4 linked regions of the Drosophila melanogaster genome follow. The protein of the gene in region 2 purifies or fractionates together with the protein of the main gene of each other region. This does not show direct contact. Each region holds a gene or a part of one and is shown on either strand. Other genes may lie near its edges.

What was found.
Region 1: the proteins of CG2993 (region 2) and CG7029 purify together in Drosophila melanogaster (affinity purification with mass spectrometry, with the first as the bait; one large-scale study listed by BioGRID). This does not show direct contact.
Region 3: the proteins of CG2993 (region 2) and CG3651 purify together in Drosophila melanogaster (affinity purification with mass spectrometry, with the first as the bait; one large-scale study listed by BioGRID). This does not show direct contact.
Region 4: the proteins of CG2993 (region 2) and CG16974 purify together in Drosophila melanogaster (affinity purification with mass spectrometry, with the first as the bait; one large-scale study listed by BioGRID). This does not show direct contact.

The regions. Positions count from the first base shown.
Region 1 is NT_033777.3:22,779,590-22,785,786, forward strand, and holds the start of CG7029 (uncharacterized protein), read left to right. Parts: upstream 1-2,138; 5' UTR 2,139-2,569; intron 2,570-4,877; 5' UTR 4,878-5,173; coding exon 5,174-5,834; intron 5,835-6,197.
Region 2 is NT_033777.3:7,802,682-7,811,836, reverse strand, and holds CG2993 (uncharacterized protein), read left to right. Parts: upstream 1-1,822; 5' UTR 1,823-2,683; coding exon 2,684-2,798; intron 2,799-3,510; coding exon 3,511-3,863; intron 3,864-4,069; coding exon 4,070-4,925; intron 4,926-5,066; coding exon 5,067-5,246; coding exon of another isoform or gene 5,247-5,278; exon of another isoform or gene 5,279-5,842; intron 5,843-6,198; coding exon 6,199-6,332; 3' UTR 6,333-7,172; downstream 7,173-9,155. Other genes in the region: sgll (sugarlethal), read right to left, coding at 301-980, 1,048-1,107, 1,169-1,169; CG18268 (uncharacterized protein), read left to right, coding at 7,561-7,678, 7,789-8,556, 8,617-8,807.
Region 3 is NT_033779.5:22,119,208-22,127,595, reverse strand, and holds CG3651 (uncharacterized protein), read right to left. Parts: upstream 5,757-8,388; 5' UTR 5,725-5,756; coding exon 5,416-5,724; intron 5,346-5,415; coding exon 3,915-5,345; intron 3,856-3,914; coding exon 3,568-3,855; intron 3,507-3,567; coding exon 3,380-3,506; intron 3,312-3,379; exon of another isoform or gene 2,815-3,311; coding exon 2,657-2,814; 3' UTR 982-2,656; downstream 1-981.
Region 4 is NT_033779.5:13,188,340-13,194,735, reverse strand, and holds the start of CG16974 (uncharacterized protein), read left to right. Parts: upstream 1-2,756; 5' UTR 2,757-2,832; intron 2,833-4,979; 5' UTR 4,980-5,044; intron 5,045-5,117; 5' UTR 5,118-5,162; coding exon 5,163-6,396. Other genes in the region: Edem2 (ER degradation enhancer, mannosidase alpha-like 2), read right to left, coding at 1-171, 244-1,063, 1,119-1,265, 1,642-1,793.

The sequences.
Region 1 (6,197 bases), about 15 Mb from region 2:
ATGCGGGAGGTCAAGCTATGCACAAAAGATATAAAAAGATGTAGATACTATACTAGTTTGCTATATTCGAGGGTGGATTGTTCCATGCTAATTTGGCGAGGGCCACAATTGGATCAGCAGTTGGGGGGGGGCAAATGGATTTGTCATACTTGACTGTGGAAATCAACGGATGAGTCATCATAGTCCATGCAATTGTGGAAAAACAACTAAATTCAATTAGAGCTAAAACCGAACAATCGATATGAGAGCGAAATTCTAAAATCCACCTAAAAGTATGCCATTTAAACTTTCATTCGCCATCTGTAGATCTATTTTATAATTTTTTGCTATGTCTGGTATTCTAATTTATGGATTATGATCACGACCTGTTTTTTTCCCTTTCAAGACCCAAAAACATATGGCATCCGCTGATCTTTCGAAGCCGACAATAATTAATTAACAAATAAAAGTAGCAGAAAATCCCAAAAAAAAAGAAAAAGAAAAGCGACAAGTTTTGCGTTTGTATATATACTTTTTCGTATCTTCATGTAAACAAGCCAATTGCTGTTCATTGAAAGTGATATCTATGTACGTACATATACATATGTATCTTTTTTAGCATTCCCCGTCTGTTTGAGGTTGATTTAATCAGCAGCAGTACACCAAAACAGCTGATAATAGATAGGGGGTATATGAATATAATATATGCATTTACAGGGTGCTTGTGCTGTGAATACCGATGATGATTACTTAATGTATTCAACTCATTCATGCCCTGCCTTTGTCTACCATTCGAATCTAATGGGGGGAAATGTACATATGCGCATTTATAATGCTTTTATTGGGAAATTGGAAAATGTAGTGCGCTCCACTGACTGATGATCGCCTGTTTGTAATTGTTAATGAGCACTTGTGCATTGCTCCCGCACTTTGAACCCCCCTCGAACTGTGATTCTATGCTATAATTTTATGTGCGGTGTTCAGTTTCAAAGAGGGGCACATGTTCTGTGTTTGCTTTGCTTGCAGCACGTGCACATGCGCCGTGCCGGGAAACTTGGATCTTCATCCTGCCGGAAGAGGCGTCTTCAGGCTCTTCGAGCTCTATTTACCACCATCGTTGTGGAGGAGGGATGTTTGTTTGGCCGGACCAAGTGGGCACTTGGTTTGGTTTCCCACTTGAACGGCTTCATTAGTCGCAGAGATAAATCAAAATCTGCAGTTGATTTACTTACCAGATGGTCGGCGCTTATCGCAGTGATTTATTTGGCTGAAGAGGAAATATTACAAATAGTTTTTAGTAATTTCGAAATTGTTTTATATCTAAGAGGATCTTAATTGTGACAAGCTAAAATGATCGATGGTTTGGTATAAAAGTGAACAATGAAATACTAAATTATTATTTGAAGTCATTTCAAACTGATAAAAGCAAATAAGTTTAATAACAATCGCTCTCATTAATCAATAACAATGACTTGAACTAACTACTTGTTTGTATAATTAGTTAAGATTCAACTAGAGATTTCCATTATTCATAATGTGCCATTTGAACGGGCATTGCATTCAGTGCTTTAATGGGAGATTGCTATCAGACCTGAAGATCAAATCAATTATTAATCTTTAATCCTGTGGATTACGATTATTTTTATTGTGGAATATTCTATTCTATTTCTAATAGTAGTAGCAACATACTTAATTTTTCTAAAATGAGAATTTATCTTTACCTCTATTATATACCATTTGTAAAACCATGGATAATAAACTTCTATATCCAAAGGGTTGCACTTGCTGCGCCACAGATGGTGCTATTAGCCGTATCCATGAAGTTGTCGCTCTCGTTTTCACTTTTCGCTGGAGTCCGTGCTACATGTTTCCTTATTTTGGGGTTAACTCGGCGATGCACCACATTGTATAATGTTCCGTGCGTTGGGGTACTTCGTGCGTTTTCGGGTGCTTTTCATTCTTTTCACTCGGACTCGGATACACCCCGAAGATACTTACACTGGGAGGTGCCCTCTCACAGATACTCTCTCACACACACACGCACACACACACACATAGAGGCCTCGTCGCTTTGTAGCCGTCGCTTCGCCTCTTTTTTTCGGATTTCAGATTGTCGTTGCCGCTCGCGTATTTTCATTTTCAGTCAGTCTCCTTGGGCTGGTGCAACTGTGAAAATGTGCGGAGCGTGTCGTTTGTGAAAGCCTTGATTATTTTCCATACATATATATATCTATATGTATTTCTTATTTTTCGTTTCACATTTCGCTTAATTTGTTTACGCGCCTCGTCGTCGGTTCGTCGTTCCGTTCGTCTGGTTTGAATAATAAACTCGTAGATACTTTGTGTGACGCAGCAGCAGCAGCATCCCAATCAAAGTGGAATCACTTAAAGGGCTTTAATTGTGCGTGAGCCAATCCCCACAGAATTATCTGAAAGATACTCGTTAGATTGGCCATCTTAAGTGCATCGTCGGTAGACGAGAGTGTCTGTGTTTGTGTACTTTCTTTAATGTCTGATACGAACAAAGGAACCAAAGTTCTCTTTGACAACGAACTTTTTGGGATTATCTAATACGCAATCCGTTTTTGGGGTAATGTAATGCCAGCATTTAACAATTATTTATGAGTTTTCTGCACTCGAAAATGAGATCATCTGTAGTCGGCGTCTGTATCTAATCGGTTATCAGGTTGTCAGTTGCATTGCTACCAGTTTCAAGGCTTATCTTATCAACTAAAATTTGTTGGGCATGCCAAAAGTGTTTGTTTAAGCCAAATAAAAGCGTTCAGCAACCGGTTGATAAGCTCGATTTGCCTGTCAAAGTAGCAACTGTGTATCTGCATCTGCAAATAGCTTTGACCTTTTTGCCAAAACCAAAAGACTTCCGCGTCGATATGCACACATGCGTTTGATGATTTCGTAATTACAATCGGCACACAAAATAGAAACAACATCGACAATGCGGCTATATCTGTAACTGCATCGCCATCGTGGAAAATGCAGATGCATTTTCTTGGGCTGCCTCATTTAATTGGCGGGCATGGCGTACTCCGCCAAAAGAGTTTTCCCGCTGCCATTTTCTAGGCGCAATGTAGGCCAACAAGTACGTTGAACTAAACTAAAATGCTTGCCATCTCGAGAACAATGAGGAAAATATATATACTTGTGTTTACAAAAAAAGGGCTTGCCTATGCGACACCATAAGGGTTTGAAACTATATCTATAGGAACCAAAAAGAAAGTAGCTGAACAAATAATATATTATATAAATATTTTATAAACCAATCTTGCTATTAAACTTTTATTGATTGCAATTGCCGACATTAGAGGCCAATGTAATGTGTCATTTGCCACGCATTTCCCTTAACTTGTCCGCAATGCCAACACCTAAACAAACATTTTTGTTGGAGTTCAAAATGTGATTGAACCTGGTGGGGGGCTACACCTTGCAGCTCCAACTGGGTGAAAAAACTGTACTTTCGCATCGGCTACATGCGCTGTTTATTTTTGCCCCGGCCGCGGAAAATTGCAAGGTGCAAAGAGAAATCCAAATGAGTTGCGTGCACGAAATCGAAATGCATCTGCAATTTCCACACAATATTTTCGCAGTGCGTCGGCTTCTTACTTGCGTTCGTACCAAAAACATTATGTTTATGATTTCAAGAACTTCATGGCTCTTGGCAAATACAAGGCAGCTGGAGCGTGGCCATGGACAACTTGCCACCATGTTTATCGGAGCTGCTTAAATGCCGCTTCGATGCGAGAGCACTTTTCTTTTCCACCATGTACATATACTTGTGCGTACCACCGCCTTGTGGCAGAGTGTATGTTGGTTTGGTTCCTATGTATTTTGGCCGCTTGCCAGATGCGGCAAAGCCGTTTGGCATTTTCCGAGCCAGGTCCTTGGTGCGCCTGAGCACTCCTCAGACTTTCCCTTTCTCGATATTTGAAAAACGCAGTCCTGAGGGATTCCTTTTCGTGCGCGACGCTTTCCCCGGTGGTTGGTGGCCATTTTGCGATCCTTTGTCTGTCATCTTACACTAAGGAAAAAGAGGTTTTATATATCTCCTGCATTTATTACTACTGGCTTACCACTTTTGTAGCAATTTTGCTATTGCTATTTAGTTGCATTTCCCCTTTGTAAAATATATAAAGATATTGTATCTTTTGCTGATGTCAGGCATCAAGTATGCAGATATATCTCCTATAATCTCATTATGCCAAGCACCTGGTGGATCTAGATATTTTTCTTTGGCAAGCTCATGTGCGCTCTAGATAGATTTCAATAGCAAACATTATGACACATGCTCGCCAAAATGTCGGACGACAAGTTAATATTAATGAACTTGGCTAAGTTTCTTTTCGGCCAGTGATTTAAATTTAGACACCTGTGGCGAGCCTGGCCAAAGCTACACGGCTTCAAAAGCCCTCTGTTTAGCAAGGATGGCCATTTCCGTTTTTTGTGTCGGAAATTTGATGCCATAAATTAGGCACCTTTAGGGTTTTGGGGGCTTTGCTGCTAACGCTTTTGCTAACGAGCCACGAATGCAGTTAATTTGCGCGTCAGGAAAGGCCAAAGGAATTGCATTCCGAGTTTGGCCCAAAGCCGCAGGGGCATAAATCGATGGTGGGAACACAGCTTTTGTTTATGCCACATTGTTAGTTTGGTGGGTTAATTTTAGACGTTTTTCGTCGAAACTCCGCATTAAAGTTTAGATAGAAGAAATAACATAAAAGTCCCGAAAACCGAATGCAGAAAACTCGTAAATTATTTTTATATGCTTCTCACACCGAAAACATATCAACAGACACAAAACTTTTTGTGGGCTGAACAGTGTAGCGCATACACACAAACAATCTGTGTTATTTTTATATATAAAACTTGGTCCATGTGTCGTATAGAGAAGAGAAAACTTACGCATCAAGCATAACAACATGTATAAATAGCCATCAAAGACTACGAAGAAATCAAAATGAAAAGTGCAGCATAGAAAAGAAGAACCGAAAGGAAAAATCCAAACAAAATGTGCAACCAATCAATGGAGTTGAACCGCTTAAAAAAAAGAGCCAATAACTAAAAATACAGCAATACAGAAGCAGCGACACTGTCCCAAGAACATCTTGGCAACATCGCAGCGTTGGTCCGCAGCGGACTGGCCAAAAATAAATCGGCAGCAACATACGCCTGCAACAACTAGATGTTGTTGCTGCTGCTCGCCTTCATCATGAGATTCGTAGACATTTCCAAACGCTGTGCCGCCTGCTCCAGGGCCGGCATCGATTGCACCCACCACAGCGGCCAGAGCAATCCGCAAGCCAGCGATGCCAATGGCAACCACACGGCCTGCTGGCAACATGTCGCCGGTGGCACGAGTAACAGCAACAGCAACAGCAGCAGCACCAGCAGCGGCTGCGACAGCAACAGCTCCTCCAAGGAGAACTACTATGTGCCGCAGCAACTGCAACATCAGCGGCAAAGGGTTGCCAAGCACAGCAAACCTGGCAACATTGGCGTTAGTCCGCAACAACTGGAGCAGATACGCTTCTATCAGCGCATGCAGCAGCAGCAGTTGCAGCTGTTGCAGCAGCAGTTGCTGCAGCGTCGCCGCCTGCAACAGCAACTGCTGCAACAGGGCGTGCCTTCGCCTCCGGCAAATGCAACAACTACAACAGCGGGTCTTACCTGCAATCAACAGTATTTGCGACAGCAGCGAATGCAACAGCAACAACTGCAGCAGCAGCAACAGCAGCAGCAGCAATATGTGGACAACAACAGCAACAATGACAATAACAACTATCTGAACAACTATCTGAACAACAGCATTAACCAGCGAAACAATGGTAGAGTTTTGGGCCAAGGTGCGCTCTTGATAAGTCTTTAATTAAAACCAATACTACTTTAAGTGTCTAAGATATAAAGAAAGTTTAAGTTTAGCTTAAACCTTTCTAACTACTGAGAGATTACTGAGGTGCTTTAAGCCTAAAAGTTAAGATATAAAGTGGGTTATTTTTGTAGGAAGTCTAAACTATGACTTCTTTTCAGGTATATTATGACTCTATCATTACTTTCTTGGTGAGCATCACAATGATTAGCAATAAAGAGTAAGCAAGTTTAGCCACTGTAGTTGTGGATTAAAGTTGTTTCCTCGTAAAATCGTCACATCTTTCTCAGCTCAGCCCTGACGCAACCACTTGAGCATCTCGAGACGGGCTTTTGTAGTT
Region 2 (9,155 bases):
CTTAGGCTACTTGTCCAACTTTTTTAAGGGCTATAAGCCATATTTTAGGATGTGATCTTAGCTAGTGTACTTTCAAATTTAAAAAGGAATTGTAATTTCACTTACACCTTATGACAATATTTAAAGGCAATCTTAAATTTGTATTTGGTAGTTAAGCTTGTACAGATGTACATAGTTGTTGGTTATGTCTTAACATTTATTTTGAAGCAGCTTTAAACGTTCCTCTATTATCCTGCGCATAACAACTTAATTTGGAAGACATTTTCAATGCATCTGTAGCTGAACTCCAGAACCCAGTGCCTAAGGAGCCAGCCGTTCGTACACCCAACCATCCTCTCCTTTGTGAACCAGTTTGCTGTCGACTTCGGATTCTACTCCTCCACCTCGTCTAAAGCGGATGCGATCGTGGAGCCGATCGGTCTGACCCTGCCAGAACTCAATGAGGTCGGGACGCACCAAGTAGCCACCCCAGTTGGGCAGCGGCACCTCGCCATCGGGACCCAGTTCTAGCTTAATTGCCGCCTCCACGTCGTCCAAGTAGCTGCGCGACGGAATCCGCTGGCTCTGCGGACTGGCAGCGGCTCCGATTTGGCTGGCTCTTGGTCGCTGGTGGAAGTACTTGAGGGAGTCTTCCACCGAGATCTTCTCAGCCACGCCCTCGATGCGGACACTTCGCCGCAAAGGGAGCCAGTAGAAGGATATGGCTACATAGGGATTGGACTTGATGTCCTCAGCCTTGCGGCTACCGTAGTTCGTGAAGAAGGTGAATCCCTCGGCGGTGGCTTCTTTAACCAGCACATAGCGATTGGAAGGCCTACCCTCCGCACTCACGGTAGCCAGGGCGGCGGCATTGGGCTCCAAGATCTCCGGGGTTTTCAGCGCCAACTCCAGCCAGTCTCGGAATACACAGAAGGGATTCTTCACCTTGATGTTATCCTCCAGGAAGGCGTCCTTGCGCTCACAGTACTTCAGACGAAGTGCTAGTTCCACAGAGTTACCAGCAGGCCATTTATTACAACATAATATTAGGTTATTAATGTTACTTACCCGAAAGTGGCACCTCCGAGGCACCTTGGCTCATCCTTCGAATTGTTTGCAGCAACTTCACTGTTTTTGTGGGGTTTACCTACTGATTATTGCCGATTTCGCAGATAAGATTTACACGTACTTATTCAAGGTCAGATATGAGCTTTTCTGCGGTACTTGAGCACCAAAACAATAACAAAACCGGTTAGAGAATTTATTGCAAAATGCAAGACTTGTTTGCGCTTAGTGTAGCCAGTCCCACCTTGTGTGATTAAAACCGCTTTTTAACGGTATTTTTTGGGTATACAAACACGGTTACTCCGTGCGCAAGTAGCAATGTTAATAGTATGTTATCTGGAAGCTGGTTAACAGAGCTAGATGGCGCTAGTGTTGTGGTACTTTTGGATTTAGCACCAGGTGTCGCCACGTGGCATTTTATGAAATCCTCAATAGGTGGCGATGAACTGTTTTGTTGCTAGATGGCACCACTGGGGAAATAGTAATTTGACAATAGATGGTGCGCTTGGGAATATGAATTTTATCGTTAGGTGTCGCCCAGAAACTAGTATTTTGTCCATAGGTGTCGCATAGGTTACCTTGCGAGTCTTAAAGAGATTTTAAATATATGCACAACTTATAATAAATATAAATATAAATATACAACTTTAAGAAGTTGTGTTTCTTGCCGGAATTCTGTTCCTTGTGGCTTGCATTTTTGAAACGCCTATAAAATTGCCTAAACGCCAAGCTCAAAAAATACTATTCGATTCGAAGTCTTGTCAACCCTGGCATTGCGAAAAATGTATACAAAAACAGACAGCGGCAGCACGTGTGCGTGACTCTCAGCTCGGTGGCTTTCTCAGGAGGGGGTTGTTGTTTTGGTGAGCCGCAGGTCCTGTCGGATCTCCCGAGCGACCCGAGTACGTATATCATACGCTCGGCTCTGGGCTTGTACCCTTGCGACATGATGACATGCGGATAGAGTAAATCCAACACGAACGGCTGCTGGACGTGTTAGCCGTGAGCTGCGAGCGAGTTAAATCGAATCGAATCGAAAGAAACCGAAAAGCTAAAAAAAGGAAGCTCAAACCAGAAATCGTTGCGACAGGCGGACGAGCGGACAGACAGACTGACAATCAGGGGGCCACATGAAAACACCAAATATAATTAATATGCCACGGCTGTGTTAATGCTGCGAATAGTTACCAATTTCCATAAGTGATTGCCCCGTCGGTTGAGTGCGTGCAGAGAAAAGTAGGTTACGGCGGAAGGAATTTTGAGGTCGGACGGTCGGTGGCTCGTGGAAAGCGTTCACAAATTCTTCGTGTGCATGTGTGTAGGCCGCTCGGTGCCGAGAAAATGCAGTGCGAGTGCCACAAAGGCGACAAAGGCAAAGAGCAAATGGCATGATGACATATAGCAAATGAACGAAACAGCCCATTTCCCAATTTCTTCAATTCATACTCTCCAGCCAGCAGGGGAAAAGTGATATTTATACATCTGTGGTCTGATTTTTGCACAGGCCACAGTAACAAACTCACACACATACACAAAGACACCACTAACACAGACGGACGAACGGTCGGACGGACAGACGGACAGACGGGCGGGGGAACAAGCGGACGCACAAACACAAACGACAACTATATAGCAATATATGCCCATTGAGTGCCTTATATCATTTGATAATAATCCACAAGGTGTCTACTATGCCGGACAGGAGCTATCCGGCGTTGTTGATCTCAGCGTCGACGCCACGAAGCGCATTAAAGGTGAGCCCCCTAACGTATACTACGAAAACGGTGTCCATGACTCACGGGGCGTATGAGTGATGCGGTCACTTGGCATTTCGGTGCGGTGTGGCGACTCGGTGCATTTAAATGCACGAAGGCCACGAGCTAATGGCAATATTAAAATGTATCTCCCCCCGGACGCCGATTCGAACGTGCTCCACTATTAATCGTTGCTCTTGGCGCCCTGCCCCCAAAAATATGTGGCTGTTGTGACTGTCACTGTGGAATATCCTGCAGTTGTTGTGCTGCTCTTGGCATGCCGCCATTTTCAGTTATCCATGAACTCGTTAAAGGCGTGGTTATTTGTTAGCTTTCCCTTTTGTGGAAATTCGTTTACACTCGCAAAATAGTCGCTCAGACTTTTGAGTTTAGACTAACTTTGAATATTTTGTACTCTTTTTAAACTATCATTTAAATATATAGGCATTGTACAACTTTATAATACATTTATTCTAAGCAAAGGCCATACCTACTGCATTTAATTTAAGCAAGTCTATTTTATAAATTTCCGTCTTGTTACACCCAAATTTTTTGACAAAAAAGATTCATTTATAGATTTAGATTATTCACATTGCCATATATCCCTACTTTAAGTAGGCCGCCTGTAAATTCGATGAGTCGCTGCTCAGCGGTCTCCACTTGCAATTCAATTTGGCAATTCTTATTCACAGCGGGTGGGGCATCCTTGCAGGCATCCACGTCACCGTCAGCGGCTATGCCAAGATACGCTGGATAAAAAAGGGATATCCGCGCGACAGCGAGCGCGCCATGTGCCGTGCCTACCGATCGTATCTGTCCTCGCGGTCCTACGTCCTCGGATCCTGCGCGAACAACTCGAGCATCGACTGGCCGGCCGGCGAGTACTCGTACACCTTCCACGTGATTCTGCCCGACAATCTGCCTACGTCCTTCGACGGCAAGTATGGCCAGATCCACTACGAGATCATAACAACGATCGAAAGGGCCGCTCGCCACCCGAAGGTCTTTAAGCTGCCATTTACCGTAATACAACCGCTGGACCTGAACGCAGATGCAATTTACAGGGTATGTGTTTATTCGACGTAGTAGGGTGATCTACAATAAAATGTTAGTATAATTTGTAGTTTGCTAACCATTTTCAACTTAAAAGTCTACATAGAGAGAACTTAAGAAATTAGTTAGGCACAGTGGTTTAATAATAATGAGCTAATAGAGTTTTTCTTACTATCATGATTGTTCTAAAGTATAACTAATCCACTGGGGTTTTCCAGGTTCCTCTGGAGATCCTCGATCGGAAACGGTTCTGGAGCTTCTGCTGCCCCACAGGCCCGCTGACGGTGAAGTTCTCGACGCCTTACTGCGGATATGCGCCCGGCCAGAAGATCCACTTCGTGCTGTACATCAACAACGAGTCCTCGATCGACATAATCGAATGCGAGGTCAAGCTGAAGCAGGAGGTGAGCTACGAGTCGCACGATCCGCAGCATGAGTACCGCTACGACAAGCACCTGATTGCGCGGAAGCAGTTCGGAAACGTGCTGAGATGGTCGAGAAAGGTGTACCGTGGGTATCTCGACCTGCCGTCGATACCGCCCACTTCGGTGAAGCCCACGTGCCCCATTAGCGTTAACTATTCGATTAAGATCATCGTGAACCCCACGGAGTTTCACTGGAAACTTAAGCTGAAGATTCCGCTGACCATCGGCAGTATACCGATCATGGATGGTCCGGAGGCCCTGTTGCGTTTCAATCGCCAGCAGCAACAGCACCAAGTAGTTAGTCAAAATTTACAAATGTCGACGCAGCAGCGTCAAAGGGATCGGGATCGTGATCGTGATATGAATGTGGATCGCGAAAGAGATCGAGATCGAGATCGGGACCGGATAAGTGCCTCAGTTCAGCAGCGACGTATCAGCAGCATCAACAACAACAACAACAATCATGGACGCCTTGTGGGCGGACTACTGCCGACCAATAGCAATATGAATATGATAACGAATGTCAGTCCCACGCCCACAAGCTCCACGCCCTCATCAACGCCAACAACTGCCGCCCTCAGGCCAACGGCCATGCCAGCGATTTTGGTGACCAGTGATAGCGATAATCCGCCGGACTATATACCCATGAGTAAGAATTATTCAGTTTGCCCACCCAAATGGAATAATTGAATGCTCAGAAACTTTTGTATTTAAATACATCAATATAGTACTATATTTATGTATATTGTTGTGCAATAAAATAGGCTCTATTAAAACTCGTTTCTTTCAGTGCCGCCATCATATGAAGACGCCATGGCTCTAAGTGAGAAGTTCAGCGATGACACTGAGTTCTTGACCAACGTTAGCATGAGCAGCATTTTGTCCGCTCAGGCTGATGTTACCACAAGTGAGCCCTTTAAGCCGCGTTATCCGGTCTATTACGATTATGAGACACCGACCATACCGCCCGGTAGTGATGATTCCAATGAATCCGACACATAAACCACCCATCAAAACAAAAAACCAAAAATTGTTTACCAAAAAAGCGAAAGCTACAAATGAAAAATGATCCAATCAATTGAATGGCTGAGTGGCTTTTTCTGTGTTCTTTTTTATTCCTTTTCCTAATAGTAGTTAGAGCATTTTCATAAATGTACTTTAATATGTTCAAGTAATGAGATCAAGTGCGCAGAGATACAATTCATTCAACTTTGTCCGCCTAAAACCAAAAAATGCAATTTAAACACTACAATTTGTACTTGTCTGATAGAAAGGATTTTGAAATCCAAAGAAAAAAACGTTGGAGTCGTAAAGTTTATTGTTGTCCTTGATCCGAGTGTCTGTTAAGCCTATCTCATTTAAAATGAATCTCATTACTTAGTTGTCAATATCATTTTAATACATTACACTTTATTCCTATTATATAAAATTGTGTATCTAAAATAATTGCACGTTTTATTCCATTACCCTTTTATATATATAAGTATACAAGATATTTTTACCAACTTAAATTAATAAAAATTGTTTTTGATTCTTAATATATATATTTTATACATTACCTTCCATAAAAACATATATTTGTTTTTTATTGTATCTAAAACGATGAACATGTATGCGCCTGAACCAAAATCATTATTAATATTAAATTATATCGAGCCGTTTTCTTCTTCTTTATTATGGCGTCTTTTAATGTTTAAGTCAAAAACATTTATCGAATACCAATTAAGAACGTTTTATAGATTTTTAAAGCTTATCTTAACTTTTTCTACTTTCCTAATATGCATTTCTCTGTTAATCCGAGCAGAAATAATTTCAAAATGTGCTTAACTTGTAAATTTATTCTCTTGTTACCGCCCCGAAACATGCTACATTTTGTACCGTCCATTCACGATCCCCTTTCCTTCGAAACCCGAAAACCGTAGAGACGCTCTACGATGAGTCCAGTTCCCGGCTGCGTCTTACACTCAGCTGCCAGGACTCGGCGGCACCGGAAACGGATGAGGATTTGGCCCCGAACACAAGAGGAGGAGAGCCCCCTTCTTGCGAAAAGAAATGAGATGTCTTTGGACTAAGCGATACGGAAAGAGCTGCATCAAATGTAAACCAATAAGCCAATAAGCGATAACACTTACATATTTAATCGAAATCAAAATACTATAGAATGGAAAATGAAACCCAGTGTGCTAACATGTAGTAGAACTTAAGTCTGGGCGCAATTTAAATTGAAGGTGGCAAATCGAGCCATTTTTTATAGAGCCAAAGCAGAATGGGATATATTTTGGAGAAGAAAGCTATTTAGGCCAAAATGAATTTGATTTATTTAACTATTTTATCCTCCCTTTCTTCTATAGTCCCTATATTTACATTTAAATTTTCTCTCTTCTCATTCTCGTTTTCCCCTTTTTAACTAACCTTATACAATTATTTTTTAAGTATTGCTAATTGTAAGCAGATTGATACTTGATACAGTGGTCGCTGGCTAAATGTATGTGAACAATGTAGTGAGAAGTTAGATGAAATCATTTAGCTCGTAATTTTAACAAAATCTGCACAATTTTACCAAACGGAGAGGGGAAATTAAGCGCGAAACTAACATTTTCCAATATTGAATATTGTATTGACTTTTTCTGTGTATCTATGAGAAATTTACAAGCAAAGATTAGCCAAATTGTGTTTAGTTTTTTATTATTTAAAATCATCACATCATCATAATCTTTAGGTGTCTAAATGAGATATTGTCGAACTAATTATATATATACAAGTGTCTCTTGCTCTAGTTTCTATACAAATTAGATTGTGTTGTCTCACTATATACTTTGTACTTCCTCTTATTTAAGCGCCAGTCTAACCAAAAATCATATAAGTCTATTTCTAAGTCTTAACTGTCTTCAATTCGATTTAATCCGATTCAATAAAGCAAAACAAGCAAAATATATTACGTATACCACAAAAGCTGTAGACACATTTACATCCTGTACACGGTATAATCAGCAAAAAATCTGAGTCGGCTTAGCTGGACCATAAAGCTAAATTTATATATTGTTATCGCTGCGGCCAAAACAGACTTCGGGCCAAATTAGCAGTAAAACAGCAGCCATTTCTCATTCAGACGACTCGTGTGGAAACAGTTTTTCAGACTTCCAACGGCTTCGGATGAAACCTCAAGTTGTCACAGTCACTTGTTTGCCGTTCGTTGGCGAGGTCACAACTAGAGTCTCAGTCGCGTGAATGCGAATTTTCAGAAAAGCACACATATATAAAAAAGCCACTCCAAACCACTGAAAATGCCAATAAATTGCGAATTTAACTTATCGCGTGCCGCTGCCATTTATTACAACGGCGAGCAAATTTCGGGATCACTCACTGTGACAGTCGACGGGAAAAAAAGTTTCAAATTAGAGGGTAAGATGCCATTAGGCAAATGAGTTGGTTTAGTGATTAGATAGGGGAGAGTGCTGCAAATAGATGGGCAATCTGATATGCTGATCGTGTTGTTGTTCCCCATTCGGCAGGCGTAAGTGTCACTCTCCACGGAGTCTCGACGGTCCACTGGCGGGAGTCACTTCGAGGTCCGCCGGAAATCGAACACAATGATAGCACCGGAAACCTGGAGTGCCCCAAAGTGGATTACAACGGCAGCAAGGTGCACATAAATGAAACGAAAAAGTTAAACGAAGTACTTCAGCTAGAGAATGGTACCTTTCGATTGGGTGACTTCAATTTTCAGCTGCCTGAAAATCTGCCAGCCACCTGTAGACTTCCTTTCGGCAATGTGGAGTATGTGCTCAAGGTTGTTCTCGAAAGACGGGGAACACATAACAAATGCTTTCAGCAGCGATTGGTGATACGAAAGTGTGTGGAACTCGCCGATCTCAAGCCCCAATATATGGAGACTGCGAACATGGGACTTACATTGCCGCGAAGTGTTTTTGTTCCGGGTCAAAGTGTAAGCTATGAAATCTGTTCCAAAGATGGAGTCCAGGACTTCCTTACGCGCTTGTGTAAAAAAATCAGCTACACTAGTCAGCAACCAAGTGCCAAAACCAAGAATGTGACACAAGTGTTGTCCGAGAGTTCGGAACTTAATGGCAATCTTCGCCTGCCTCTGACAGCCCCTATTATGAGTCACTCAGATCAGCTGGACCCTATACAAATCAGTTATTACATTGAGACATTCAACTCCTTGAATGCCCCAATCAAAGTACCCATTTTCGTGGCCACTGTTGCACCCCCCGTGAATTCCCAAACGGAATCGTCGCAACTTTGCTTCGTTAATATGGGTAAGTCCATACGCTGCCCATTAAAAGGGGCAACCAGTAATTAACTATTGTCTTCTTTAGCTCTTAGCCAGAGTGAGCTGCTGGGGCCAATTAATCAGTTTCTGGCCAACAGCTGTTCTCGGGAAATCGACGCCTTGGCGCTGAGCAAACATTGTGAACGTGAACGCATCAAGTTGCTAAAAGGCCCGAAGAGAAAAAAGTCGTACGTGCATTTAGCTTTGCAATACTTTTATAAGAAAGTACTAACCTGACACACGTGCAGAGTCTGGAATTTCAGTGCCAAGATATTGAGAATTGTAGAATTCACAATAATTGAACTTGAAATGCGATAAAGGAAAGTAAGCCAAGCAAATAACTGGATTCGATTATCGACTATTACCGACTATCAACGTACACAAAACGAAATTCTTATTTTTATTCTTCCCAATAAACTTGGGTTACGTATAGTACTAGCTAAAAATATATTTTTAAATATGCAAATATATTTCTATGTGAATTTGCCATTTTATGCAGTCCCTTTTCCCCAGGCAAATGGCTCGCTCTCATTATCGCAATTATGCATGCCAGATTAATGGAGTGAGTGCCCAAATAATTTCGAG
Region 3 (8,388 bases), on a different chromosome or scaffold from region 2:
GCTACCTCGATTCGTATGTTTATTATAAATATAATTATGTCGTAGGCCAACGGTTTCGTTTTCCAGGCTAAAGACGAAAATGTTCGAAAATAATATTATTGACTTTGTTCGATGTTCTTCAATTTAATTTAATTTTTAAATGGTGTTAAAAATAATTAATTTCCTTTTATCTTTCAAATTTTATAAAGTCGATTTCTCTGAAACCAGGCTCTTTGATGTGATACTTACCGCGCTCTGCTTTCGAAACATCAACTACTTTGTCTCAGTTCGTTGACTTGCTTCGTTACAAACGTCTCGATCTTTTCGCTAAAAGATCTAGCTGACTTTTAGTTCTCCCGCGCTCTAGGTCCAAGGACCTCTATTTCACCAAAGACACTATGATAATTTTAGTAATTTATAAATTAACTAAACAAAATAATTTTAGTTTGGTATTATTCTAGTGTTGCTTTACCGTAAGTTGGCTATATTTAGACCAGGTATTCGGATACTTCATTTTTATAACAATTGCAAATATAGTGGTAAAACACGAAAAAATTAACAAAATATTTTTGCGGTTATACATAAATTTTTCAATGCAGAAATAATTTCTCAGAAATAATAAAATATTATATAAATATCAATATGAAGAATATGAATAAGCTTTAGAGTATTACTTATTGCCGTTTTATCAAGGGCTAAATAACACATCTAAATAAATAGTGCAATAGGAAAAGGAAAGTTTTATATTATATATTAAGGTTTAAAGCTAGGGCATAATCTATTAGACTAAAATTTACATTGTGTTCTGATCACTACCCACTTATTGCCATATATGTTGCAGGAAAGGTCTTCCGTTGATGTTTTTCGCCAGAATGCTATGGTACTTCCAATGAAGCTGAGTTTTTGTCAAGGGATCTACACGTTTGTCGACCTTGTGAAAGACAAAAGCCAGTTCTGACTGGATTAAAAGTTTGCATTTGTTTGTGCTCTACTAGTATGCCTGGCATACAGTTCTGTACAGTTCAAGTCTTCAAGTCGTTATGATATAGGACCACCTCTGTCGAAGGGAATAAATTAAGATCGTACTTGTCAATACTCCAACTAATTTTATTGAGTAAATCTAACAGTACTTAAGAGTAAGAGTTAAGATTCACATAATATGCTTATGCCAACAGAATTGTGTAAGACAACAAATTTTGGGTAAGTGGTAATGCTATATAGCCAACTGGACAGAACATGTTTATGCCAGTAAGTCGTTCACGACCTGAAAAACGATAGTCCGTGTTGGACTAACACTTTTACCTGAAAAATAACATTCTCCTGGCCGTTGAAGTGTTAAATAAGTAATTAAAGAAGATTGAATTTTAAATTTAAAACAGCAGAAATTCTTGATTTGTTTTTTAGTAGCCGGCTTACTAACTATACGCGTGACTCGTATAGAGAGAGTATACTAGATTCGTTGTAAAGTAACAGTGACATTCATACGTGCTAGAAACTAACTTGTGAGTTTTAAAGCAACACAAAAATTTGGACCAGCAAGAAATATGTCGTTCTATACGCAGGGAACTCTTAGTAGAAACTTATCAGCTAATTCAATGTAGTTATAAACCGCTTGCAAGATCCCTTTCTTATAAAAAGCATAGAGTATAATAAAATTCTGATTGTCTTAATTCGAATGTAGAGCCTTTTTCCTGTCTTTGAGCTGGCCCACCAATCCGAGAAATATTTTTTCCAATATATGTGTGGTGTGTATCTCATACTGTTTTGTTTTCAGACATGTATATATATATAACGCTAAAGTAAGATTAAAAACGAAAGGCGGGTAACAACGAAGACGAAAGAAGAATTCAGGAAGATGATGATCAACTGAGATGAGTTGAGTTAGAAAATGTTTTTTATTATATTATTTTTATTTATATTATCCAAAAATCTGCAGTAGCAATTATGTTGCGTCACGGCCCTTGAACGACGTGCAGAACACAGCCAGCCTTATGAGAAAAGTTTAAGCACTTGGATTGCAGTCGTTAAAAATTCTTGCTGTCAAACAATTAAAAAACTGTGACCTTATGTTACCCTTGCTGGCCATGTTTGTTTTAAATAGGCTTCTGTGTCACAATTATTTCTAACGCATGGCGCTCACTCGCTAGCAAAACAATCTAATGCAAAATTCGAATAACAAAACAAGAGAGAATGCTATATATTTCCCTTATATGACCGGAAAACTATGTACCTGTTACATATGTTTCAACGACTCTAGTATACCTTTCTACTCTACAAGTAACGGGTATAATTACATATGTATATGTACATATGTACATACATACATATGTATTACGTATTCCGTAAACAAATATGCACATTACAATATAAGGCGTTGATAGGCGAGGCAGATACATATATTTGTATTGATACCTGTATATTATGGCCTACATAGAAAACATTTTTGAGCTTTAAACACCAACTAAACTTTGAGTTTCTTTATTTTCTTTTTTTTTTAGAGCGGAGAGACTTTTGAACCCGACTTAAGCGGTGGGTCACGGCCATGCGATCACCTGATTTAATATGGAAGATGACTTATTAAAAAAAATTAAACAATAAAACTGGGCTAAGCACTTCTAGAGAGATGATGTGTATCCGGCTTAATGTGAAAATAAATGAGTGGTTGTGCAAATACGTCCTAACATTTGCGGGTTAGAGTCAGTACCCCACTCATGTAATACTGCGGGATCATTAAATATTCGGGCAGGGTGCGTTTACAAAAGGAGGTTGACGACGATGCCTGTGCTTGTGTGGATGCTGCTACTGTTGCCTGACGCACGATGTGACCAACCTTTCCTGAAAAAAATAGAATGTTATTTTGTAAAAAAAAATAACAATTTAATACAATTTGAAATGACTTGTATTCTGCGTTAACCTTACAAAAATTGTTACGCCCACTGGCTAAGTAACGGAAATCTGAAATTTGAATAAATCGACTATAAGATTCTCTCGTCATTAATTGACTTCCCTAAAGTTCTTAGGGTAGCAATTATGTAGTCTCACGGACTAGCCTAATTAAGGTCAAATTGCTTCCCTCTTGCGTATATTGGCAAAATTTCATTAGTTTACAATTAAAGAAAAGAACTTGTTTAGTGTCTCTGTGTCAGGGGTAACAATACTTACTAATCCATATATATATATTTGTATATCTATCGATATTCCAGAAAAATTATGAAATTTCGCGATCGCATTTCTACTAGCTGAGTAACGGGTATCTTAAAATCGGCGAAGCCGACTATAGCGTTCTATTTTATGATTAGAAAACATTTTTCTTACTGAATATGTAAATATGTAATATATCAATACCGAGTAAAACTTTTATATACAAACTATGAAAAAACAACTCTATAGAACATCTTACCCATCACGTTTGCGCAATGAAAGCGGTCATCTAGTTGCTGAAGGAGGGAAAGATCTCGACAACGTGCCCAGGCATTAAGTATGTCCCTTACATTTATAGGCACCCATTCAGTTTTGTCTGCAGCTTTCTGTTTGAAAAATGTGTTGCATTAGTTTAAAAAAGTGTGTACAATATGTATTTGATTTTACCCCCTTAAATTGTACAATAAGCTGTTGGTGGGTCGCCATCTCGATCAACCGTTTGAGCTTGCGATGGTTTCCCTGCTGCTTTGAGGCCTGTATTAATAGCTGCTTGAGATTGACACTACTTTCCGTCCGTCGCCGCTTGGCCAATTGCTTGAAATAGCCATGAAGTAGCTCCCTGTCATAGGGTACGCGCAGTTTATCTAGCGCTTGCACTAGGTGCTCCTCGTCGCACGTCTTTCCTGTAGACAGACTTGCCACCAGTGGCTCAGTCAGATAGCCTTGATTGAGGAGCTATTCGCGAGAGCGGGTAAATTCATTATACACAATTATTATAGCATGCGTTTACATACCTGTAGACCGTTGAAACTATTATCACACGAAATAAACCTTTGGTTGCAGGGTGGACCCAAATTGGAACCAGAAACAATTCCGGTTGCTATTAAGCTGTGCCAGCCGGCGAACGGACCTCCATAGCAGTATACTGGGGACCCGCTTCGACAGCGAACCTGGTCCGACCGTGAGTAAAGCGAAATACTACTGCCCCGACTGCCAGCTGATCTACGACACTTAGGACATGTTCCCGGGTCTACGACTTTGCCTATGGTATTGGCCAAGAACTCCTTTTCTAGGCAGTCTAAGCAGTTCTCCTCGGTTATTCCCAAGTCAAATTGGCCCGTGCACGAAGAAGACGTGGTCAAAGCCCCAACAGTCGCAGGAGCCACCAGTATAGGAGGCACTTGATCTTGCTTTGACTTCGACCCTGACTGTTGCTGCTGACATGTTGTTGCCCGGAAATCAGTGCAGCTGTAGCAACGTTCATCAAAGCTAGCTGATGTATGAGAGCGCCGCGACTTATATGAGGAGCTTTTAGTCATCACAGACGAGGTGTGCAAAAAACGCTTTGGCTTAGCACCAGTCAGCTTAGGCTCTGGGTGTTCGCTGGGGACACTAGTGCTGCGCGAAAAATTTGAGCCTGTGTGCAATGTGTTGGGCAAGGAATGAGCCTGATAAGACTTCACTGACCGAAAGCTTCCGGAGGATTCAGCCTGCTTTTCCGAGCCAATAACTATTAGCTCATTTAAATCTATGTCCACGCCACTTCCACCAGCACCAACGTCTTTGATTTTATCTAAATTCAAGCTGATGCGCGCGAACTTCTTACTAAGGCGTAGCTTTTGCTGCTGCATTAGGTCCTCCTGCGGAAAATCATCTATGGGCGAGCTGTGCAGCTTTCCTTCCTGCGTAGAAGTAGTTCCGCCTATGCTGTTCATTTGGCTATAGTCGCGTTGCATTAACAACAAATTGGCCTGAGGCTGGATGGTCATATCGGTGGTTCCGCCAACAAGCTCCAACTCTGATGAGGGGTCTGGCTCAAAGTCCATTTCAAGAAACTCCGTCTCATCTTCGCCGTAAATGAGGCTATCGCCTCCCATAGCATTCACTGGTCCTCGGCCAAGGTCGAAGTGTTGCCCGCCAACCCTTCCCGTGGCGATGATATCCATGTTCATGTCAAAATCAGCCCCTTCACCACGGTAAGCGTAGACGCAGTCGTCGGAGTTGATAGATATCTCCTCCGCGTTCATGTCGTTGTCGTCCAGCAAAATTATATCGTCGCCGTAAATATTGTCACTGGCATAGCTCAGGTTTTCGGTTGAGTTGTTTATGGAAGTTCGGCTGGAATTATAGCCACAGGCGGCGGCTTCAAAGGATGAGAGGGCAGCTGCTGCTAGCCCGTAGCTTGCCACGTCCAGATCCAGTTCGCAGTAAGAAGGACTTTCCACCTTTTTAAAGGATAAACAGAACATAACATAATCAACATAATTTTTTGTGCTTAAAGCGGCAGTCACTTGCCTTATCACCATCCTCTGCGGCCATGGTCGCTGCAGGGCACTCCTCTGCCTTTGCCCCGCCACCACCCACGGCTCCCACGACCTGCTCGTCCACCGCTACGGCCTGCGCTGATGTTGTTGCTGCTCGTTTTTGATTTGTGCCCATTGTATTTACACCGGTCCCACAATTGACTTGGCTGACTAAGAGCTCCGGGCGTCGCTCTTCAGCCGCATCAGGACCGAGGTGTCGGTTCGCACTATAATTAACGATATTGTTATTGTTACTCAGATGCAAACGCCAGTTTAATTTATCTAGCTCTCGAAAATCCATTCCATTTGCGGCCTGGGCAGTGTTACCAGATGGCATAACGGTAAAAAAAAACCGTCGACAGCCTCTTAAAATAATTAATGCCAAAACAATTATGCGACCTATTCACACAGCCCAATTGATGCGTGAACGTTAACAATTTCAATGATAAAATGCAAGGCAACTAATTTAAAGCTAATTGTTTCAGTAAAAAGATTATGCGGATTCTTTATTCTTGTATAATAAGTTTTCGCTGCAACGGAAGAGGATAAAAAGGCATATATATGATATATTTAGCAAATTAGATATAAAGTAGATAAAGATATAATAGCATTGTAGATCAATATAGCTGTAGCTTATGCTTACTATTTAAGTTAGTCTAGTATTGTAAACTATTCTACCTATCATAATAAATAAATAAATAAATAATTATATATGATATATATACCAGGTGAGCTAAATTTACGACAAATAGTATTCACCAGTTTTGATCTCTTTCAATTTATTGCTTTTCTGGACTCCTCTGACAATAGGCGTATTTAACAGCTAATACAAAAGAATTTCCACATATATCAGATACCCTTTCAATATATTGAATGAAATGGCAAAGATATGGTAAAATAATTTTTTGATCATTTAAGTTAGGCTTCCTATCGTATTTTAGTTAGGTTTAGTATCGATAGAAATGAGCAAAACGAATAATCGATTGTATCCTTCGGCTAAGCAGCAATATGGTCAATAGGTGTATTCCATTTCACATATGTTGCCACTGTGCCACAACCTTTTGAAATTAGTAAATGTCTTCTCGTTTTGCATATTCATTCTTTTCGATATATCCTAAATGCGTCCCTACATTACAAAATATTTATACCTGGAATTAAAGGCAGTCATCGGGATCACAGCATAAAGGTTCCCAAAATATTTTTTGGAGTCTATTAGAGCACCCAGAACCCAGAGTAAGGTGATTTTTGTTGGATGAGAACTAAGAATGTGCCGAACTTCTTGTGATGTGGGGTCATCGTGATTCTAGTTGCATGTAGCGGAAAGGGAGGAGAGGCTGCCAGCATATAACAGATTTTCCAGCCTTTTTGGAGGCGAATTGGCATGCTTTGAGAATAGCGAAAGCTTCGGCCGTGAATATGGAAAGCTCAAAGAAGTTGGGGTCGGAAAAATCGAATTTTGAAATTTGAAAGCTGGAATCGTTTGCCCATTTTTGCCCACCAATTAGTTTTTTTTGCCCACGTCCAGTTTTTGAGATATAAATTTTCGAAAAAGTTCGAAAATTTTCGAAAATCAAAAATTTCCCTTTTTTCAATTTTTTTTTTTAAATCGCAATAATATCGTTTGCCCACGTTTGCCCACCCTTTAGAATTTTGAAAAAATTTATACTTTATAAAATATAAGGCTTTTAAGTTTACCTCGGTCTAATCAGAGAGTAAATCGTTTGCCCATCTCTTAAAACCAGATATTATCAACAAAAAACTTTTGCCCGCCCAACCATTATTATCAGTTTTTATCGTTTGCCTACCCTTTAAAAAACCCTTTTTTTTCGATTGCCCACATTTAAAATACAACCAATTTCGTTAGCCCACCTCTTTAAAATAAAAATTTCCAATAAAAAACGTTTGCCCACCATTTAAAAATAAATAATTTCGATTGCCCACCTTTTAAAACTAAATAATTTCGTTTGCCAATCCTTTAAAATTCATTTTTAACGTTTGCCCACCCTTTAAAAATAAATTATTTCGTTTGCCCACTATTAAAACTAAATAATTTCGATTGTCCACCTTTTAAAACTAAATAATTTCGTTTGCCCATCCTTTAAAATTCATTTTTAACGTTTGCCCACCCTTTAAAAATAAATTATTTCGTTTGCCCACCCTTTAAAATATGTTTTTTTCGTTTGCCCACCTCTTAAAAATGGTTTTTTCGATTTTTCACCTATTAAAACTAAATTTGTACATATGTATGTAATAATTGTAAGATGTGGCGCCAATTCACATATTTTAGGATCGGCGGATAGAAGCACTTACTTATATGATGATGATGAACATACATACAATCATATAGACATAATATGTACATAAAAATATATATGCAAAAAAATTTATGTATGTTTATCAACACTCTCCAAGCTCAAGAAAATTCTGGAATAAAATATTTTCCATGAAATGATTCAATGATTAAGAAAAATTGATTTTACAATTCATGAATGATTAACACTATGGAAATATTGAAAATGTATGTAAATATGTAAATAACTGTTCTTTTGTAACTGTGCTTTTGGCGCCACATCTTACAATTATTACATACATATGTACAAATTTAGTTTTAATAGGTGAAAAATCGAAAAAATAATTTTTAAGAGGTGGGCAAACGAAAAAAACAAATTTTAAAGGGTGGGCAAACGAAATAATTTATTTTTAAAGGGTGGGCAAACGTTAAAAATGAATTTTAAAGGATGGGCAAACGAAATTATTTAGTTTTAAAAGGTGGGCAATCGAAATTATTTATTTTTAAATGGTGGGCAAACGTTTTTTATTGGAAATTTTTATTTTAAAGAGGTGGGCTAACGAAATTGGTTGTATTTTAAATGTGGGCAATCGAAAAAAATTTTTGTTAAAGGTTTTTTAAAGGGTAGGCAAACGATAAAAACTAATAATAATGGTTGGGCAAACGTTTTTTGTT
Region 4 (6,396 bases), on a different chromosome or scaffold from region 2:
CTGGAGTGTTTTCAGAGCCTTCTTGCCAACCTGCAGATAATGATGATCGCCAGTGGCGCGGTACAGGAAGTAAGTGGACTCTATAAATTCTGGTCGCAGGGGATGCTGTCCCCAATGGATCTGGAAGTCGACGGTAAATGCTTCTGGAATGAAGGTGTGCATCTGCATGACCTGGAAATATGTTTAAATATATTTGTAAATCAAATCACATTCATTGGTGGCTTTGGAAAGGATGTTACATACCTGATAGAGCATCTCGTGTGTCTGCACAGCTGGTTTCAGATCGCCCGATAGCACCTGCAAGCCCGGCCAAAATGCCAGAAGCGAGTCCATGAAGTTTTTGGACTTAGCATGTGGCCTGTGCATGAGCACGTCGAGTAGCATGGGTCCTTCGCTGACGTACTTCATCACTGCGTTGTAGTGGCGATTAAAGCGTGCCAGGTACTTGTCGTCACCCAGTAGGACGTACGACTTGAACAGGTACTCATAGTAACTGTCGATGCCAGCTCCGACTCCAGAATCGCGACGCACCCAATCGCCCGAATGGACATTAAGTACCGTGCCCATGAGATCGGAGCCACGGTGCCTTAGCTTCCACAGTGCATCCATGGCGGCGTGAGCTCGCACCTCGAAAATGGGATCGCCGGTGAGACGCGACAGAGCAGCAAATTCCAGAAGGATGGTACCAGCACACGCCGTACACGTTTCACGGGACTTCTTGAGCATCGGGTCCTTCATGCCCAGGCGGAGATTAACCCGCGCATGCGGAATGCCCGTGGATGTGTTGAACGCCGGTAGCAAACGGTAGCCCAGCTCGCGAGACATCTCCAGCAGTTCGCCCTTGTACCAATGCATCGTGTCCGCATGCTTTTGCAGATACTCCGCCAGGATGTGCGCCGACAGCAAGCCACCGACCATTCGAATGTTCGTCTCAAACACCGACACAATAATGTCGCTGTCGAATTGAACGTCGCGGATAACTAGCTTCACCGCGTGATCAAACTCTGTGAAATCGCCCAGGAGCACCAGAGTGTCCAGAGTATCCACCAGAGTCATGGAGAAACTAAAAATAAGAACAATGTTAGTAATCCCTCCAAACCTTAGGTTTTTGAACTCACTTTCCAAGGATGTCGTCCATGTCGCCACGTGATGGCGTCACTCCTCGGTACCGTCCTTTGCAGGAGAGCGGCATAAGCTCATCAGCTGGATAGGCGTTCTGCATGTAGGCGTTGTATGCATGATAGAACATATCGCGAGCCTCTTCCCTGAAAGCAAATGGAACATATTGTATACTTGAATTTACTTTCTACATATGTGATTGTTCAGAACAACTTTTAAGCTTAAGCGTTTTAATATGACTTAATATGAAAGTCATGGATATATAATTCGTTTTTATAAGCATCACATTTAAATGTATATCCATAAATGATTAAAAACGAGTTATGCTAATTTGACCTCGTCGTTTCTGACGCATATATGGGTTACATTTAAACAAATTGCATAGATCCCTCGTAAAACCAGAGTACATTAAAATATTAATAGTGTTTCTGAAACTTTCTTAGTTTGGTAAATAAATAAAAATAAGACGTACAGAAGTTGCCCTGGTCAGGAAATACAAGGAAACGAGAAGCTGAGACTTACCGGAGTTCCGCCCGCTCCTTATTGGACATGTTCTGCGTGGGCATGGTGGTTTCGGTGCTAAGGACGCAGGCAACTACGATGCACATGGCCACCAGGAAGATGAGCATAAGCCGCTGGCCGCGGACAAAGGATTCGGAGGATGTGGTAGACATGGTGCTGGCTATCTGGAGACTACCGATGGCGGCGGCGGTGGCGTTGGAGGTTGTGCTGGTGACGGCGGATGGCTTTGTCTTTCGGCCGCCAGACTTGCCGCTCGAGTCGTTGTGACGTTGACCTTCACTTTGAACGTGTGGTGTTGAAACCAATGTTTCGATGTCTCTCTGTCCCGCTTCTTTGTTGACTCCGCTTTGGGCCCGTGGTCCGCTTGAATTGGCTCTGCAGCCTAATTGAAACAGCCAACTCATAATTAGCTTATAACTTAACAAGTAATTTTGTTCGACTGAAATTAGGCTTACCTGTGCCCGAAATGTCGACCTAATTTGTTGTTGTTTTTTTCCCGGTTTGCACGGGCACTAGAAGATCGGGTCTCTGTGGATAAAACTGGAGCGCGCTGCTTCTACGGCATCTGCAATTGCACATTCATCCTCCCAACGACCGCGACAACTGCGACACACATCGTGACTATTTATAATCTCGTTTGGAATATGTTTTCTGCTCCAATAACAAAACACCACGACGGCAAAGCGAGCGTCAGAATCGTAAGGTTACTGCGGCCAGCCGATCGGCGGGGCATTACGGCTCTCTATTATATATCCAGCTGAGTCTGTTTTTATAGTTATCCGAGCTGCTGTGCTGGCAATTATCAGATCGCTGCTTATCAACGATGAACTCAAGATTCCTTAATTTTATCACGAAAAAAAAGTGATTGCACCCTCAGTGTGACCAGCTGTGCAGCGGGCGGAAGAGAGTGGCCCTCCGCCATTAAGCTATTGTTATAAGCTAATCTTTAAAATTATTTTATTTATGCTCTATATTAGTTGAATAAGTTCATTATTCTTTTCCATTTTATAGAATAACGATAATATAAATATATTAAATTTTATCATTGCACAGCACTGGCTTTTGGTATATTTCAAACGCCTTTTCCGACTACCTTCTAATGCGTATGAGTATACTTCAACGGTTCTTTTACGGCCACACTGTAAGCCAGACGAAAAAAGACGCGAAAAGATGCAGATAATATAAACAACGGTGAGATAATAATTAAACAATATGTCATAAAAGACATATTTATTGAGTGACTAGCTTATTGGGGTAAAAAACATAGATGTTTCTTTCTATGTAGCCCAGTGAAAAGTTCAAACTTTCGACAGATGCGAGTGTGTGCGTAGCTGAAACGGCTGCTTCAGGCACAAAGGGTGAAAAAAATGCGAAACCAGAAGTTTCGGTGGCTTCATAATTACCTGGAATGAGATACTCCCGTTATTTCTCGATTTACATCCGAATCCGAGCCGCGAATCGTTGCCCTTGGCAACATCTTAAGCTGCAGCACCTTGCACATTACATGCATATGTATGTACATATGTGCTCACACACGCACACACTCACTTGAGATGAGTTTTTCCAAGGTAAAAAGGAGGCGAAAAGCGATGAATGAATTATGAGAGTGGGCGGAGCGGCGAGTAAATCTTCAATTTGGTGAACGATTCCACTTGCGGGGCAGCAGGGAATCTCGGCTAATTGGCCGTTTTACTGTCAGCCCGACTCATTAGCGGCTTTTCACATGTCACCAGGTGTTGCAAGTGTGTGCGTGTGTGCGTGTGTCTGTGTGTATGTATCGCATGTACATTATGTACCCGCACTGTATACCCAGTTAAACGGTTGTTTTGAGCTCGGATTCCATGACAGATTATGCAACCCACTCTATCTCCGTCTCTTTCGGTCTGCTCCGATTCTTTGGCTTAACGAAATTGACATTTAAATTAATGGAAAAATATACAGCTAACTGGCATATCAGCTGATTAGTCTAATTTATTGGTAGCACCACACCAATTTGGCAACTACTTTCTCGCTCTGCGAGGCAAACGTACATATGTACATACATAATTTAATTATTGTCTTAGATTCGTGGCACTTTTTTTTAGCCATATTTCTGCATGTGTATTTCGTGTTTTTTTACGTCTGTATGCTGGGCTATTTCTGTATCGGTTTTTCGTTATTTTTGTTGTTTGCATTTGTTTTGGCCAGATTTCTGCTGGTGTGTTGAATATTCGCCATCAACAGTCATATTTACTTAGCGATTCAAGCTCTTTGGGAACTGAGATTAAATGGAATACCCCTGCGACCATCCATCTTGATCACTTTTCGCAAAGTGCCGGCTTATCAGTTTTATGGGCTCATTGCTCTTATCAGCTTTGGCCCAACAGCTGGCCACCAACCGTTGTCAATATCAACAAATAGAAAAGCTTTACGCCTTCCATATTCTATATATGTGTAAATATATTCTACGTGGCATCGGGGGTCAGTCACTCGAGACATGGGCTGTATTATACAATGAATTATTTTATAGTTCTCGCGTCTTTTTATCCGAAAGCCATTGAGTAATAATCTTGGCAACTGAAGTATACCATATATTGTACGTAATTGCTTTGTTGGTGCAGGTTGTGGTTGCTGGGCGGCATTTCATTCGATATTTCTGTTTATAAACAAATGCAATCGGCGGCATTAAGGAAAATTTAAATATATGCTAACTTATAATGGCCACTTGCTGATTCACAGCGTTGCGGACTACGTTTGTTTTCCTCACCATTTATCTCAATAAAACTTGACGAGTACTTTAAGATCTCAAAAACCTTAGATTTAAAGCAATATAAAATAATTGAGCAATTTATAGCTAGATTTAATCTTTATTTGTATCAAAAACAATTACATGTTCACCTAAAGTATTCGCTTAATCTACAGACTTTTTTGTTAAGTGTTTCTATTAAAACTTCTACATTATAATAACTTTTTAGTTCCTTGCATGCCTTAAAGTTCTTAATCTTCATTGCGTGCGAATGGAAATCTGTCGTTGGAGAAGTGGGAACTTGTCCACATCCAGACAGACACTATTATAATGCATTATTAAAAGAAGAATACTACAAAAGTTCCACCTCTTTACGGTTCCAAACATTTCTGTGCGTCGCCATTTGGACGCGCAACTGGACGTCGCGTCCTCCGCCTCCTTTAGACCACCGTTTTATTTATGTTATTTACCTAACTTATTGATTTTGTCCGTTGCCCAATCCCACTTTTCCCTTCTCCCGCTGAAATGAGAGTTGCGACACATATTTTTTGGGCTCCCGAAGGGTAAAGGCGAAAATCAATAATGACCAAAAACCTGAATTGGTTTAATTTAGTGTCCAGACATCCAAAAACTTCGAGATGGCTTGTACCGTTGTACGAAAAATATAAAGTGAACATAGTTGATTATAACACAATATAAAATTAATATATTTAGCAATAAATAATATTCTGAAAACCCTCTTATCTTACAGGTGTACTATGCGACCGTACAAATATTTGAGATTACATACTGAAAAATGGAAGCAATATCGAAGATTTCCTTGATATTGTGTGCCTTGTTTGTCGGGCTCAAGGCCGCAGCGGCCATCAGTGGTGACAGCACCCACTGTCTGGCCACATACAGCAGTGCCGAGGCGTACCTGGCCCAAATCCCGCAGCAACATCGTCCACAGATCAGGCCCAGGATAAGGACCTGGCAGGAGCACGAGTTCTCACTGCTGGGCTACAAGTTCCACCTACCGTTTGTGGGCCATGCCGTCGACTCGGATCTAGATGATAGTGACAGTGATGAGGGTCTGTGGCTGGATGCGGCGGACGCCGGATCAGAGAGCGTAGAGGTGGAGGAGCATGAACTTCCTTCGGTCGGTCACGTCGATCCCACGGGCAATGTTTTTAAGCTTAACTGCGAGCATGTGGACCTGAGGCGAGTTAACCAGGAACTGCTCTCCCAGCGAAGCTCGCACATTAATTACAACCAGCTGATGCTGGCCCATGTACCTGCGGATCGCAGTAATCCCCTGAAGCTGCCACAGCTTGAAAGTCTGAGGGAATTCAGCTGGCAGAGTAGTGAACTTAAAGATGAAACGCTCATGGAGCTCTTCACCCGCCAGCCGCGCTCCTTTGAGTATATGGAACGGCTCAATCTCGCCGAGAATCGCCTGGAGTGCCTTCATTGGGCAATTCCGCTGGCCGTGCGGCGCGTGAAAGTACTTGAAATGAGCGGTAATCGACTGAGCAATTGCAGCCTGCTAAACCTGCAGTACATGAAGCAATTGCAGGAGCTGCACTTGGACAGAAGCGAACTGACCTACTTACCGCAGCGCTTCCTGGGCGAGCTGAGCGAATTGCGCATGCTGAATCTCAGCCAAAATTTGTTGACTGAGCTTCCACGAGACATATTTGTTGGAGCCCTGAAGCTTGAGCGCCTCTATCTATCCGGAAACCGGCTGAGCGTTCTGCCATTTATGCTCTTCCAAACGGCAGCCGATCTTCAAGTGCTGGACCTCAGCGACAACCGCCTGCTATCGTTTCCGGACAACTTCTTTGCCCGCAACGGCCAGCTGCGTCAGCTGCACCTGCAGCGAAATCAGCTTAAGTCCATCGGCAAGCATAGTCTGTACAGTCTGCGCGAGCTGCGTCAGTTGGACCTTAGCCAAAATTCTCTGTCCGTCATCGATCGAAAGGCGTTCGAGTCTCTGGATCACCTGCTCGCCCTGAACGTGTCCGGCAACAACCTGACCCTGCTGTCAT